2 linked regions of the Mus musculus genome follow. The protein of the gene in region 1 interacts with the protein of each later gene in a pairwise test. Links are inferred from orthologs where the notes say so. Each region holds a gene or a part of one and is shown on either strand. Other genes may lie near its edges.

The links. The genes of interacting proteins can lie anywhere in the genome.
Region 2: the proteins of Egfr (region 1) and Sparcl1 interact in a protein complementation assay, tested with the Homo sapiens proteins (2 studies listed by BioGRID and IntAct). The link is inferred for Mus musculus from reciprocal best matches to the Homo sapiens genes EGFR and SPARCL1.

The regions. Positions count from the first base shown.
Region 1 is NC_000077.6:16,749,555-16,756,226, forward strand, and holds the start of Egfr (epidermal growth factor receptor isoform 1 precursor), read left to right. Parts: upstream 1-2,648; 5' UTR 2,649-2,928; coding exon 2,929-3,016; intron 3,017-6,672. UniProt on the Homo sapiens protein: Receptor tyrosine kinase binding ligands of the EGF family and activating several signaling cascades to convert extracellular cues into appropriate cellular responses.
Region 2 is NC_000071.6:104,088,757-104,094,732, reverse strand, and holds part of Sparcl1 (SPARC-like protein 1 precursor), read left to right. Parts: coding exon 1-94; intron 95-1,359; coding exon 1,360-2,355; intron 2,356-4,271; coding exon 4,272-4,341; intron 4,342-5,014; coding exon 5,015-5,133; intron 5,134-5,976.

The DNA of each region.
Region 1 (6,672 bases):
TCTTAACATAGAGAGAATCTTGACTATTCTTAAAAATCAGTTGTAGCTATCATTATCATTTCTACTTTACTATGTGTTCATTATGACTTGTGCCACTGACCATATCCCTTGATAGAAAATACATTTTAAGCCAGAGTTCCAGTCCTGGAAACATGAACATGGGAATCATCACTGTCTACAGACTTTTAAAAACTCATCTCCAGGCTGGTGAGATGGCTCAGTGGGTAAGAGCACCCGACTGCTCTTCCGAAGGTCCGGAGTTCAAATCCCAGCAACCACATGGTGGCTCACAACCATCCGTAATGAGATCTGACTCCCTCTTCTGGAGTGTCTGAAGACGGCTACAGTGTACTTTCATATAATAAGTAAATAAATCTTAAAAAAAAATTAAAAAAAAACTCATCTCCATCTTCATTTTGTGTTCTACTGTTATATTTCTTGCTTGGCTTTTTCTAATCACCCCTTATTATTGTATTACTTTAAAAACTGCCCTAAGTTCCTATTTGGAACATACAGCAGAAAACTGACACCTAAGCTCCCCTCCCACATATGTCCCTGGGAAGTAGGTACAAAAATCTCGGAAACAGTAAAATTTTTCTGAATGTGCAATAATAAAAGTTTAATCCAGAAATTCTAAACACACTAAGGTGTTTCTGGCAGAGCTTCACAGTGCTGCATTGCACTTCACAGTGGTCTTGCTTCTATACACACATTATTCACTCTTTGCTCTGTGCATGCTGTTACACCGTGGAGTACCAAGAAGTGCTGCATCGAAACTCAGTTCAGATGCAAGACTACCATATGGTATGGCTGCAAAAGTTTTACTTATCACATACAATTGTCTTCTCTTATAGAATAATAATGTCATAATACAGAGAACAAGACATTTTTAATATTCTCCTACCATCATTCCTTAGCATAGGAGCTTCAAATGAGTATGTTTGGTTATGTTTGGATTATATTGTGTTTGAATGTTTAATATTTAAAATCAATGTCTTAAGTCTCTTTATAAAAAGGTAACAGAATTTTAACATAGGATTAGGATGAAATTTCCAAGATGACCCTAAATATATTTTTTCTGTTTCATGCTTTGAGAATTGTAAATCAAAATATTAATTAACTCTGAACAATATTACAGATGTTCTACATTCCACAGCTTCAAGTACTCATTCAAAACCTAATTTTTTGTAACAATAAACAAATCAATCTCATTGGTATGCAAATTTGCCTTAATCTTTAGTAAGTGGTAAAGTCATATATATGCCAAAAATTATCTTAACATTGCATTAGGATCTACCATTAGTCGATGTCTGATTTGAACACCTATTTTATATAAAATCCCAAGATTACATAAAAAGCATCTATGAAAAGAGGTTGCCCGTGGGAAAAGTTTAAGAAACCCCGCTCTACTTCTCAGTGAAGGTCTCAGGTTGTGATGAGGGTCCCTGCACAGGCTGGGTGACGTGTTCCCATTCAAGACGCCACCTACAAAACTTGGGCAGCAGCCCTGACTTTGCAGGGTGCGGACGAAAAGTCCGGAATGCCTCCTTTCTGGCTGCATGGAAAAAGCTGGACTGAGCCTCACTGGTTAGCCATGACTTCTGCTAACAAGGACACCCACAGCAAAGGGGCCTAAATTAGGGGACCAAGTGATTTTGTGAAAAACTCAGAGACTTTGGATTGAATGGAAGCAGGGGACATTCCTCTGATAGCTAAGAAGTAGGGACATTGGTTGGTCTTTGCTGAAGGAATTTAGTTGTGGGTCCTGAAGTTCAGGGACACATTTCTACTGGTCAAATTCTAAGTGAACTTACTTGGCAATTTGCCTCCTGATGTGCGGCAGGGCTAGCTGAGGTCACTAGAGGATGCTAACTGCTCTAAAGATTTGTTCACTGCTGTTATGTCAAGTCTCTGCTTTTGTGGAGGAATTTGCCTCATGTGTACGTTGCTTTGCTTTTCAAGCACTCCAGACTGGCTCCAGGTGTAGAAAATGCCATGTTCTTCAACATGCATGCTTTCATCCAGCAAATATACTGAGGCCCTTCTAAGTGTCAGGAGTTGGCTGCCCTTCTTTCAGAAGACATGGAGGGTTCTTGATGGGATCTGAAGGACCCTTGGACTTCTTAGTGCCACTTCAGACTTGAGGCACCCGCCTCTGCCTGTGCTGTTGGAAACTGCTGCCAAGTCAGCCTGACCCTTCTGAGATCCTGGAGAAGTTATGGAGAATACGTGAACAGCGTCCCCACCTGTGTTATTCTCCAACCTGTGCTCTGTGGTTGGACAGTTTGTAACCGAGGTGGTCCAGAGTTGTTTGGTTAATTGAAAGAAAGGAAGGAAGAAGGTGGGAGACAGAGGGAAGGAAGGAGGGGACCCTGGCATAGATTGGCTGGACTTCCTAGGTCCTGAAATGCAGCGGAGCGGAGTCCCCTCAGAAATTAACTCCAAAGGCCACCCACTGACCCGCTGCACACAGCCAGAACTCGCCCCCAGAGCCTTGTCTAGTGGTGGCCAAGGCCATCCACCACCACCTTCCGGTCACTGCCTGCTTTCGATCCTCGCGGAGAGCGCTTCCTCTCTCCTGACATTCTCCTCCTCTTCGCTCCTCTGGATCCCTCCTCCTTCTTTAGTCCCTCCTCCTCCCGCCCAGCCTCCCCCAGTCCCGACCCGAGCTAACTAGACGTCTGGGCAGCCCCAGCGCAACGCGCAGCAGCCTCCCTCCTCTTCTTCCCGCACTGTGCGCTCCTCCTGGGCTAGGGCGTCTGGATCGAGTCCCGGAGGCTACCGCCTCCCAGACAGACGACAGGTCACCTGGACGCGAGCCTGTGTCCGGGTCTCGTCGTTGCCGGCGCAGTCACTGGGCACAACCGTGGGACTCCGTCTGTCTCGGATTAATCCCGGAGAGCCAGAGCCAACCTCTCCCGGTCAGAGATGCGACCCTCAGGGACCGCGAGAACCACACTGCTGGTGTTGCTGACCGCGCTCTGCGCCGCAGGTGGGGCGTTGGAGGAAAAGAAAGGTAAGGGCGTGTCCCACCGGCCCGCGCCCCCTGCGAGCTAGCTCGCCCAGTCCCAACCTCCGCTCGGGACTCTAAGTCCCCAGCCGCCCGCTCCTCCTCTTCTGGCTCCCAAAGGCGGCCGGGACCATAGGAGGAACTGGACGGAGTCTGGAATGGGCGAGACTGGGGCCGCCGAAGGAAGGGAGACTGGGCTAGGAGCAGAGGGGCTGCCAGGGCAGCGTGGGAGCCGCGGCTGTGCGCTCCGGGGCTCTTGACTGCTGCCAACTTAGTTGCCTCACTTTCCTGCGCTCAGTAGGCGTTCGGAGCAGAAACGTGGTGCGGGACAGCGCGGGACGCCGGGCATTGGCGCACGTGCGCCCAGTACTGTCAGGGAGAGCGGAGGGACCCCGGATCCTCAAGCGGGTCGGGTGTGTCCCACCCGCTCAGTGTGAGAGTTGAGGGACTGGAGTGCGAACCAACGCGCCCCTGGTCAAGGTCGGAACCTCTGAGACGCGCGGTTTCCTGAGCGCGGTTTCCCTCAACTCCTCTCTTCTCCAGCAGGGTACTCTCAGGACCTGGTAGCCTGAGTCCCAATGTAGCTTGCAGATTTCTGGCTTGCCCTTTCGCGGGTGTGTAGTTGCAGCAATGACCTGGAAGTGTGGAGATCTCTCTGTCACTAACCACCTAGGACTTCTGGGAAGAGATGGTGTTAGTGGTCATTTGCTTCTTCACTAGGAAAAAAAAAAGGAGGGCGTGGGGGTGGCGGGTGGGGTGGGTCGATTCCGCCTCTTAGGCATAGAGCATGCCAGAGACTTGCCAGGCTAGGTGCACTGGTTGGGGACCAAGGCTCCATGCCAGATTGGAGCTAGCGTTGCGGGGTGGCTACTTCCCCTGGGATCCCTGAATTTGCCCTTTCCCAGAAGCTTGGGCTGCTGCAGCATCACTTGCCTTTGCAATGGATGGCTGACCTCCTTGTGACAGCTGGGCCCTTGGGTGTAGTGCACCCTTGGTGTTTCAAAATGAGGCCGGTAGCAAACTTTCTTACTTGTTAGCTGAGACGTTCCCTCTTGGGTTTCTTTTTCTTTTCTTTCCTTCCACACCCCTCCCCCCCCCCAAGTGATTGATATTTGGCCAACTAAAATATAACCCCTAATTAAAAAGAAACATTGATGTCCATGGATCACACATGCCAACTGTCCAGACGGAACATGAACAAGTCTGGCTTCATGACTATCCGACCATAAACCCACTTGACACGAGAAACATGCCTCGGAAGGTTTAATTGCACAATTTCAAAATCCAGCCGCTCGGGTTCCAGGAGTCAGGTCTGCACTTGCTGTTGATGTCATCCGCATCCAAGTTGGACTTGGGGGTTGGTGCTCCGTGCACTTTTGTTGGAGGGGGTGTAAGGCTCAGTTTCCCAAACTTAACTACACAATGAAATCATTTGGGTTTAAAAATCAACAAGCAAAACAAACTACACCCCTCCTCCGTTGTTTAGCTACCACTCCATACACTCAGATTTCACGGGTCGATCTTGAGAATTAGAATTTTCAAAACTCTTGTAGCATTTGATTTGAGACTCGCTAGCATAAATGAAAAATTGATAACATCTAAAGGAAGACTACCACGACGGTTCTAACGAGCAGGAGTCTGGGAAATCTTGCAGTACAGGAAATAGCAGGGATAAAGTCGGTAAAGAGGGCTTGCTTTTTTCACAGATGGGATGGAGCACTGTGGAGCTTTTCTCCTACCTTCCTTAGCTGAAGGGCTCCAGGCCCCATCGGTCAGTTGCCTGGCATCTGTGCCTACCCATAGGACTCCCTCCCCTAGTTTTCAGTTTCCCTTAGAGCCCCTGTAGAACACCAGTTGTCTCAGCTTAACTCTGTGTTTCTTCGCTGTTAGGTGTTACTGTTATGAACACTGTTAGTGGTTGGAGATTTGTTTTCGGTTAAATAAAAATGCCACTTCATCTGTCTGTTTGTATGATATTCACTTAAAGCCAAATGCTTCTGGGTGTAGCAGGAAAGGTAGCAAGCAAATATTTATCTGTCAAAGTAACGTAAAAAGGCTAAGTTCTAAAGGACAGATTATTGAAAACGTGAGACACCCTTTCTGCAACAGGCTGATAAAAGATTTGTTTGTTTAATTGGTCAGTTTTGTTCCAGACTGGCTCCCTTAGTTGAGGTAGGGTGTTTATCCTTCCCTCCAAATCTATGGTACCATATGTAAATGTCATCAAAGCAGAAGACAGTTAGACTCTGTTTTCAGTGCATTGTCAGTCCTCACATTGCATGTAGTGAGAGGTGATTCTCATCATCTGTTTGGGGAACCTATGCACAGAGAAGTGTAGTGATTTTCCCCCATAGCTGTTAAGAAGTGATGCCAAAATTGATTCAAGTTCCTTCCACCTCCAAACTACACTACCTTATTGTAGGAGGACCAGGCTAGGTTAGGTGTGTAAATGACTCAGTTCTGATGCTAGAAGGATAAGGACCAGGAAACAGGCATTTGAAAAATCAGTCCCCATCTGAAGCTTGCTTGTTTAGTGGCCTACTTTCCTGTTCATGGATGCTGTGGTCTCCTGGGTTGCCTTTGATGGGGGCAATGTTGTCACTAAAACAAAATATGGGCAAGGTATTAGCTTGGACTTGCTGAGCAAGTTCCACCTGTACCATGATGGCAGGAGAAGGCGCTTCTTTGGAAAAGATCCTGTGCAGAGCAAATGAGGAGAGAAGGGACCCTCAGCCTGAATAAGGCAGTGGAGTTTGGAGGTGGAACCAACTTGAAGGGGATTCCAAAGGCTTCTCAAGACTGTCTGTCTGTCTGTCTGTCTGTCTGTCTGTCTGTCTCTCAGAAGACTGGGTCTTGGGAAGCCCAGTACTGGCTTTCTATCCAAGAAGCTTATGTTTTCATTCCAGGTCTAGATTAGATGGAAAGTCCCACTGGAACTCCAGGCTTCTGAAGTCTCCTTTCTAGATTCAGTAAATGTTTATTGCTTGTCTAAGATGTGGCAGACATTATGAGTTTAAAGGGGGATCTTAATGATTATATTATTGCTTCCAAACATATGTAGTTCTTGAAACCACTAGTTAAACATTGGTAATCTGCTTTTCAAATATGTAAAACAGACTAGTACTCCGACTGACTTTCTTACGGTGCACATTCCCAGTGGTAGGACATGATGTTATCTGAAGTCAGGTGGTGACACCAATAGACTCAACAGCTTCCGTTGGCTTTATTTACTTAGCCTCATAAGTCATAACTTTTCTAAAAGGAAAAAAAGGTGCTGGATTTGATATCTTAATCTCTGAAGGCTCTATCACTACCAAAATGTCTGGTCCTTTTGACGGGCTATCTGTGAAACGTGTATGCTAAGAATGGCTTTCAATCTTAGCAGTTCAAGCAGCTTGCTTTAAAAGCTATATGGGAATTATCACAGGGGGCCCTTCTTTCATGTTTACACTTCTGGGTGATTTCTTTCCAACAGACCTAGATTCCAAGTACCCTTTTCTAACTCTGTTCAACTTTTCATCAACAAAAGGCTAAACTTAAAGTTTTGGAACATTTTTTTTTTATCCCTAAATATCTCTGCAATTTCATTGTTACTGAGGAGTCCCCACACATAAGCTGCTTTATATAATTATGTAAGTTAATCACTATTGTTTGCCTTTTGA
Region 2 (5,976 bases), on another chromosome or scaffold:
AACTACTGCAACACTGGTGACACCGGAAGACGCTACAGTCCCCATTGCCGGGGTTGAAGCTACAGCAGACATAGAAAACCATCCCAGTGACAAGGTAAAAATAATCGTTACATTAATGCCATCGTTTATCATTTTCCCTGAGAATTCAGTATCAAAGCATCCTTACAAGGGTAATATATTTGATGTGTTTATGAAAAGATAAATTGCTTCTCGGCCTTTTGGTTAAGATCAAGTGTAGAAAAGATAAAGCAATATAAGGGATATGTTCTATGGGAGTGTAGAGAGGTGTGGGGAAGGGGCTATCTCAGGGGGCCATGCCAAGGCATCCCTTCCCCCTGAGGAACCAGCCACAAGCGGTATAGTATAGAATAGAGGTTTTTCAGGGAATGGGGAGGGGAGTTAAGAGGGTAGTAGAGGCAGAGAAAGGGAGAGAGAGAGAGAGAGAGAAAGAGAGAGAGAGAGAGAGAGAGAGAGAGAGAGAGAGAGAGGCCAAGAGAAGCAAAGAGAAGCGAAGAGAAGCGAAGAGAAGCAAAGAGAAGTAGAGGCTGGCCATGACCACGTGGAGAGAGGGGGAATGGAAGAGCCCAAGAGGGCAAGAGAGAAGCAAGAGTAAGGGGGGGGGCAAGCAGTCCCTTTTACAGTGGGTCAGGCCTACCTGGCTGTTGCCAGGTAACTGTGGGGTGGAGTTTAGACAGAATGCTAGCAATAGCCGGGCAGTGGTGGCAAACACCTTTAATCCCAGCATTTGGGAGGCAGGGGCAGGCAGATTTCTGAGTTCTAGGCCAGCCTGGTCTACAGAGTGAGTTCCAGGACAGCCAGGGCTACACAGAGAAACCCTGCCTCAAAAACAAACAAACAAACAAAAAAAAACCAAACAAAAAAAGAATGCTAACAATATTCATTTCTAAGTTTCATTTTGTAAGTACGATAATCACACAAATTCTCTGTAAACACTAGAAGTTATGGTGACTAATAGTGTACTTGCTGCAGTGAAGTGCTCTACAACCATTTCCTTTTACAAAATTCAAATTCAGGCTAACCCTGTGCTCTAGAATGGAAAGAACAACATAAATATGTTCACATGATAATGTCTGAAGAAACAGAAGGAAGAATTTTTTTTAAGATTTATTTTATTTACATGAGTACACTGTAGCTGTCTTCAGACACACTAGAAGAGAGCATCAGATCCCATTACGGATGGTTGTGAGCCACCATGTGGTTGCTGGGAATTAAACTCAGGACCTTTGGAAGAGCAGTCAGTGCTCTTAACTTCTGAGCCATCTCTCCAGCCCAGGAAGAATGTTTAATGGTAGCTTTGTAGAGATAAATAAGAATACCATGTCATTTGTTTTGTTTAAGGCTGAAAAACCTTCAGCACTTAATTCAGAAGAGGAAACTCATGAACAGTCAACAGAGCAGGACAAAACCTACAGCTTCGAGGTGGACCTGAAGGATGAGGAGGATGGAGATGGGGATTTAAGTGTAGATCCAACGGAAGGAACACTAACACTGGATCTACAAGAAGGTACAAGTGAGCCTCAACAGAAAAGTCTCCCGGAGAACGGCGATTTCCCCGCGACCGTGTCCACTTCCTATGTGGATCCTAACCAACGCGCAAACATCACAAAGGGAAAGGAGAGTCAGGAGCAACCTGTAAGTGACTCACACCAGCAACCGAATGAAAGCAGCAAGCAAACCCAAGACTTAAAGGCTGAAGAAAGCCAGACACAAGATCCAGACATTCCCAATGAAGAAGAGGAAGAAGAAGAGGACGAAGAAGAGGAAGAAGAGGAAGAGCCGGAAGACATTGGTGCCCCCAGTGATAACCAAGAGGAGGGAAAAGAACCTCTGGAGGAGCAGCCTACCAGCAAGTGGGAAGGAAACAGAGAGCAATCTGATGACACCTTAGAAGAGTCCAGTCAGCCCACTCAGATAAGCAAGACAGAGAAGCATCAATCTGAGCAAGGAAACCAAGGGCAGGAGAGTGACTCTGAGGCAGAAGGAGAGGACAAGGCTGCAGGCAGCAAGGAACACATTCCACATACAGAGCAGCAGGACCAAGAAGGGAAAGCTGGCCTTGAAGCTATTGGCAACCAGAAGGACACTGATGAGAAGGCCGTTTCCACAGAACCTACCGATGCTGCCGTGGTGCCTAGGAGTCACGGAGGAGCTGGTGATAACGGGGGCGGGGATGACTCTAAGCATGGTGCAGGCGATGACTACTTCATCCCCAGCCAGGAATTCCTAGAGGCCGAAAGGATGCATTCCCTCTCCTATTACCTCAAATATGGCGGCGGCGAGGAGACAACGACTGGCGAGAGTGAGAACCGGAGGGAGGCTGCAGACAACCAAGAGGTGAGCGAGAATAGTCTTAGCTGTGCTACCCACATCCCCGCACCCTGGTGTGCGTGTTTATAGCAGGACTTACTAAAATACAGGGCAGGGTGAGCATCCTCATCTGACGTGACTGAGAACAAAAGCATTGTGATTGGTTTTTTTTTTAAATTTGGAGATTGCATGTACATAACGAGATATCTGGAAAATAGAGTCCAAGTTTAAGCACAAAATTTTTTCATTTTACACACTCTCTCTATGTGTTGTATATAACTTATGTGTAATTTTTTACGATATTTTTATGTGTCTCTCTTTTTTTGGGGGGGGGGGGTTGAGACAGGGTTTTTCTGTATAGCCCTGGCTGTCCTGGAACTCACTTTGTAGACCAGGCTGGCCTCGAACTCAGAAATCTGCCTGCCCCTGCCTCCTGAGTGCTGGGATTAAAGGCGTGCGCCACCACGCCCGGCTTATGTGTCTCTTTTAACTGTGACCTGTCAGCACTCAACCAGTAGTTGGATTTTGGAGAATTACATATTTCAAGCACTCAGATTATGGATTCTCACCTTGTACAATTATATCTTTTTCTGCCTGCCTCCATCATTAGACTGAAAACAACATGTTTTTATGTGGCCTCCCATTAGAAGGTGACCTTGAATTTGAGTGACAGTTATTTGAGAAGTATGAGAAACAAAGAGCTAGAAATGTTAAACATTGCATAGGGAAGGAAAAGAAGCTAACAACGAGACCCTCATTAAGTTCATAAAATAACAAACAAAACAAAACACAACCCTTCTAAGCATTATTCCATTCGGGAGCGAGGGAGCTGTCACACTTGTTTTGTCTGAGCCTTGCTCCCTTTCTGAGAGGTCATAACTCCCCAGCACATCCAGCCTGTCCTTTGAACAGACCACGTGGATGTCTACAGCTATGGGAGCGCAGAAATGCAGACAGTAGAATTAAAAATCCCTGTAGCTGCCTGGTGGTGGTTGTGCAGGCCTTTGATCCCAGCACTCCAGAGGCAGAGGCAGCCAGATCTCTGAGTTCAAGGCCAGCCTGCGATACAGAATGAGTTTCAGGGCAGCCTCGTGTACAGAGTGGGTTTCAGGACTCAGATAAACCCTGTCTCCGAAATTAATTAATTAATTAATTAATAAAACACACAAAAACTCCGTCCCTGGAGCTGGCTGGAATTTTTGACAGAGCTGAAGAATGAGCCTGCTGTCTCAAAAGTAGGCGCCACTCTGATCCCGCTGAGCCCCTGAGTCTCTCAGAAAACCCCCAACTGACTCAGAGAGACAGCAACATTTGTAAAATTAACCATAAACATTAGAAGTACTGCACTATTACGCAAACACACACCCCGATGAAAACGCAGAAGTTACAGTAGGGAGAAAGGGTTCTGCTTTGATTTTAGTGGTTTAATCACCTTGGACCTTCTGGCAACTTCCTAGCAGCACCCCATAGAAACTGACCCTGTCTGGGGTGGCAAGAAGTCTCAAGTCCTCAGACCTCTCCTGCCATTCTAAGGTAGAAAATGTCTTACACCTCAAAACCTGCTGAGAAAGTTTTATAAACACCTCCATGTAGGTGACTGATGGACCCCCCATTCTCAGGACAGAATCCCAAGATAATATCATGGAGACAGCGCTCTCCCGACTCTGAAGGGGTGATCCTATCTCACATGGGGTGACTCTTGCTCTCCAAGGGTTACTGTCTCACTCTGCAGTTGCAGGGGTTTCCCAACTGAGATCTGAACATGCAGGGCTCTGTGGAGGTATGCAGGGCTTTGTGGAGGTATACACAGCTCTGTAGTGTTAGGCACAACTTCTGCAGAGGTATGCACGGCTCCATGGAGGTATGCACAGAACACAGTAAGAGAGAAAACAAATTACTGCTCTCTTGAGAACACTGAAATTCTGCTCTTGCTCTTTTCAAAGGCCAAGAAAGCTGAGAGCTCACCAAATGCTGAACCTTCAGATGAGGGCAACTCAAGGGAGCACAGTGCTGGTGAGTGGACACTGTGTGAGCTGCAGCTGGTCCAGGAGGGATGGAGTCTGCCATTTGGGTTAGCACCCCTTCCATTATGACCCAGAAATCCACGTCCCCAGCCTCCCCAAGGAAATAGTTCATAAAGTGTTGGTATTTCTAATATATGTTTGATAAACTATGGGTCATCACGCTTACAAACTGAAAGACCTGTTGAGATTGTATACAAAGCGGTCTATATCCCACCCCACCCCCAGACCCCACCCCACTTTCAGCTCTGAGAAGTACTGATTCTGCTACTTATTCTCAAACCCATTCTTCCCAACCATGAACATCTTTAATCTCAGTAAATTAAATTCCCTGGCTTATCTTCAGACCTCTCTGCACCTCGTTTCCTACACCTGAGATTCTGAGGGTCTCAGGCAAGCCAAGAAAAGCTCTGGCCCTCTTCCAGCTCCAACCCAGTCTGTTGTAAAAAGATGTCTAAACTCCTGTGCACAGGTCTGATGCCAGAGAGTCCATCTGCAGATTAGCACATCAATTAAAGTGGTTCCCAGCATCTTCCTGCTCTCCTGTTCTCTGGAATCTGACTTCCTGTCTTGTTTTGTTACAATGATGCCAACAGTCTGTTTGACTGCGTGTTTAATACACAATTTCTCTGTGTCTCTGTTCCCTTTCCAATCTTTCCTGTTAGGTTCTTGCACGAACTTCCAATGTAAAAGGGGACACATTTGCAAAACCGATCCACAAGGGAAACCTCACTGTGTTTGCCAAGATCCAGAGACTTGTCCCCCTGCAAAAATCCTAGATCAGGTAAGTATTCTGAAAAATGGTCCCCGAGATACACCAAAACTCTAGTTTCTCGAGTAGAAATAGTTTGCAATTGAATCTGTTTTATGAGTTGGGACACAAGTTATTTAAAATTTGAAGCAATATTGAAAGGGAACAGATACCACAGAAATCAAAGTACTTCAACTGTGCCATAAAAAATGAAGAGTGGGGCCGAGGAGATGGCCCAGTGGGGAAAGCCTTCCGTGTAGGTCTAAGGATGGGAGGTGGGATTCCCAGAACCCACATAACTGCTAGGTGGGAGTGGTAACTCAGGGACACTTAGAAGGCAGAGATGGGACTTACTGGAAAAAGCTGACTGGGAAGACTAGTGGTATAGATGAGCTCTGCGTTCAACTGAGAGAGTCTGCCTTAGCAAATAAGGTGGGGAGAGATCAAAGAGAACTTCTCCCCCATCAGCGTATGTCCCTCCCACCAGCAGCCTAAGCCCTGCCCACCAGCAGTCTAAGACCCGCCCACTAGCACTCTAAGACCCGCCCACCAGCAGTATAAGATCCGCCCACCAGCAGTATAAGACCCGCCCACCAGCAGTCTAAGACCCGCCCACCAGCAGTCTAAGACCCGCCCACCAGCAGTCTAAGACCCGCCCACCAGCAGTCTAAGACCCGCCCGTCTTCAGCTAAGGTTCTCCCAACATCAGCCTAAGCCTCCCCCCCCACACCCATACATGCATGTGCATCTCTGTGCATACATATGAAACACAGAGTAAAGTGTGTGCATTATACCCGAAGCACATAAAATATTTATATTTTAATTTTAAAAGATGGCGCTAGCATTTGAGGAGGAGAAATTTTGAATTCCTTCTAT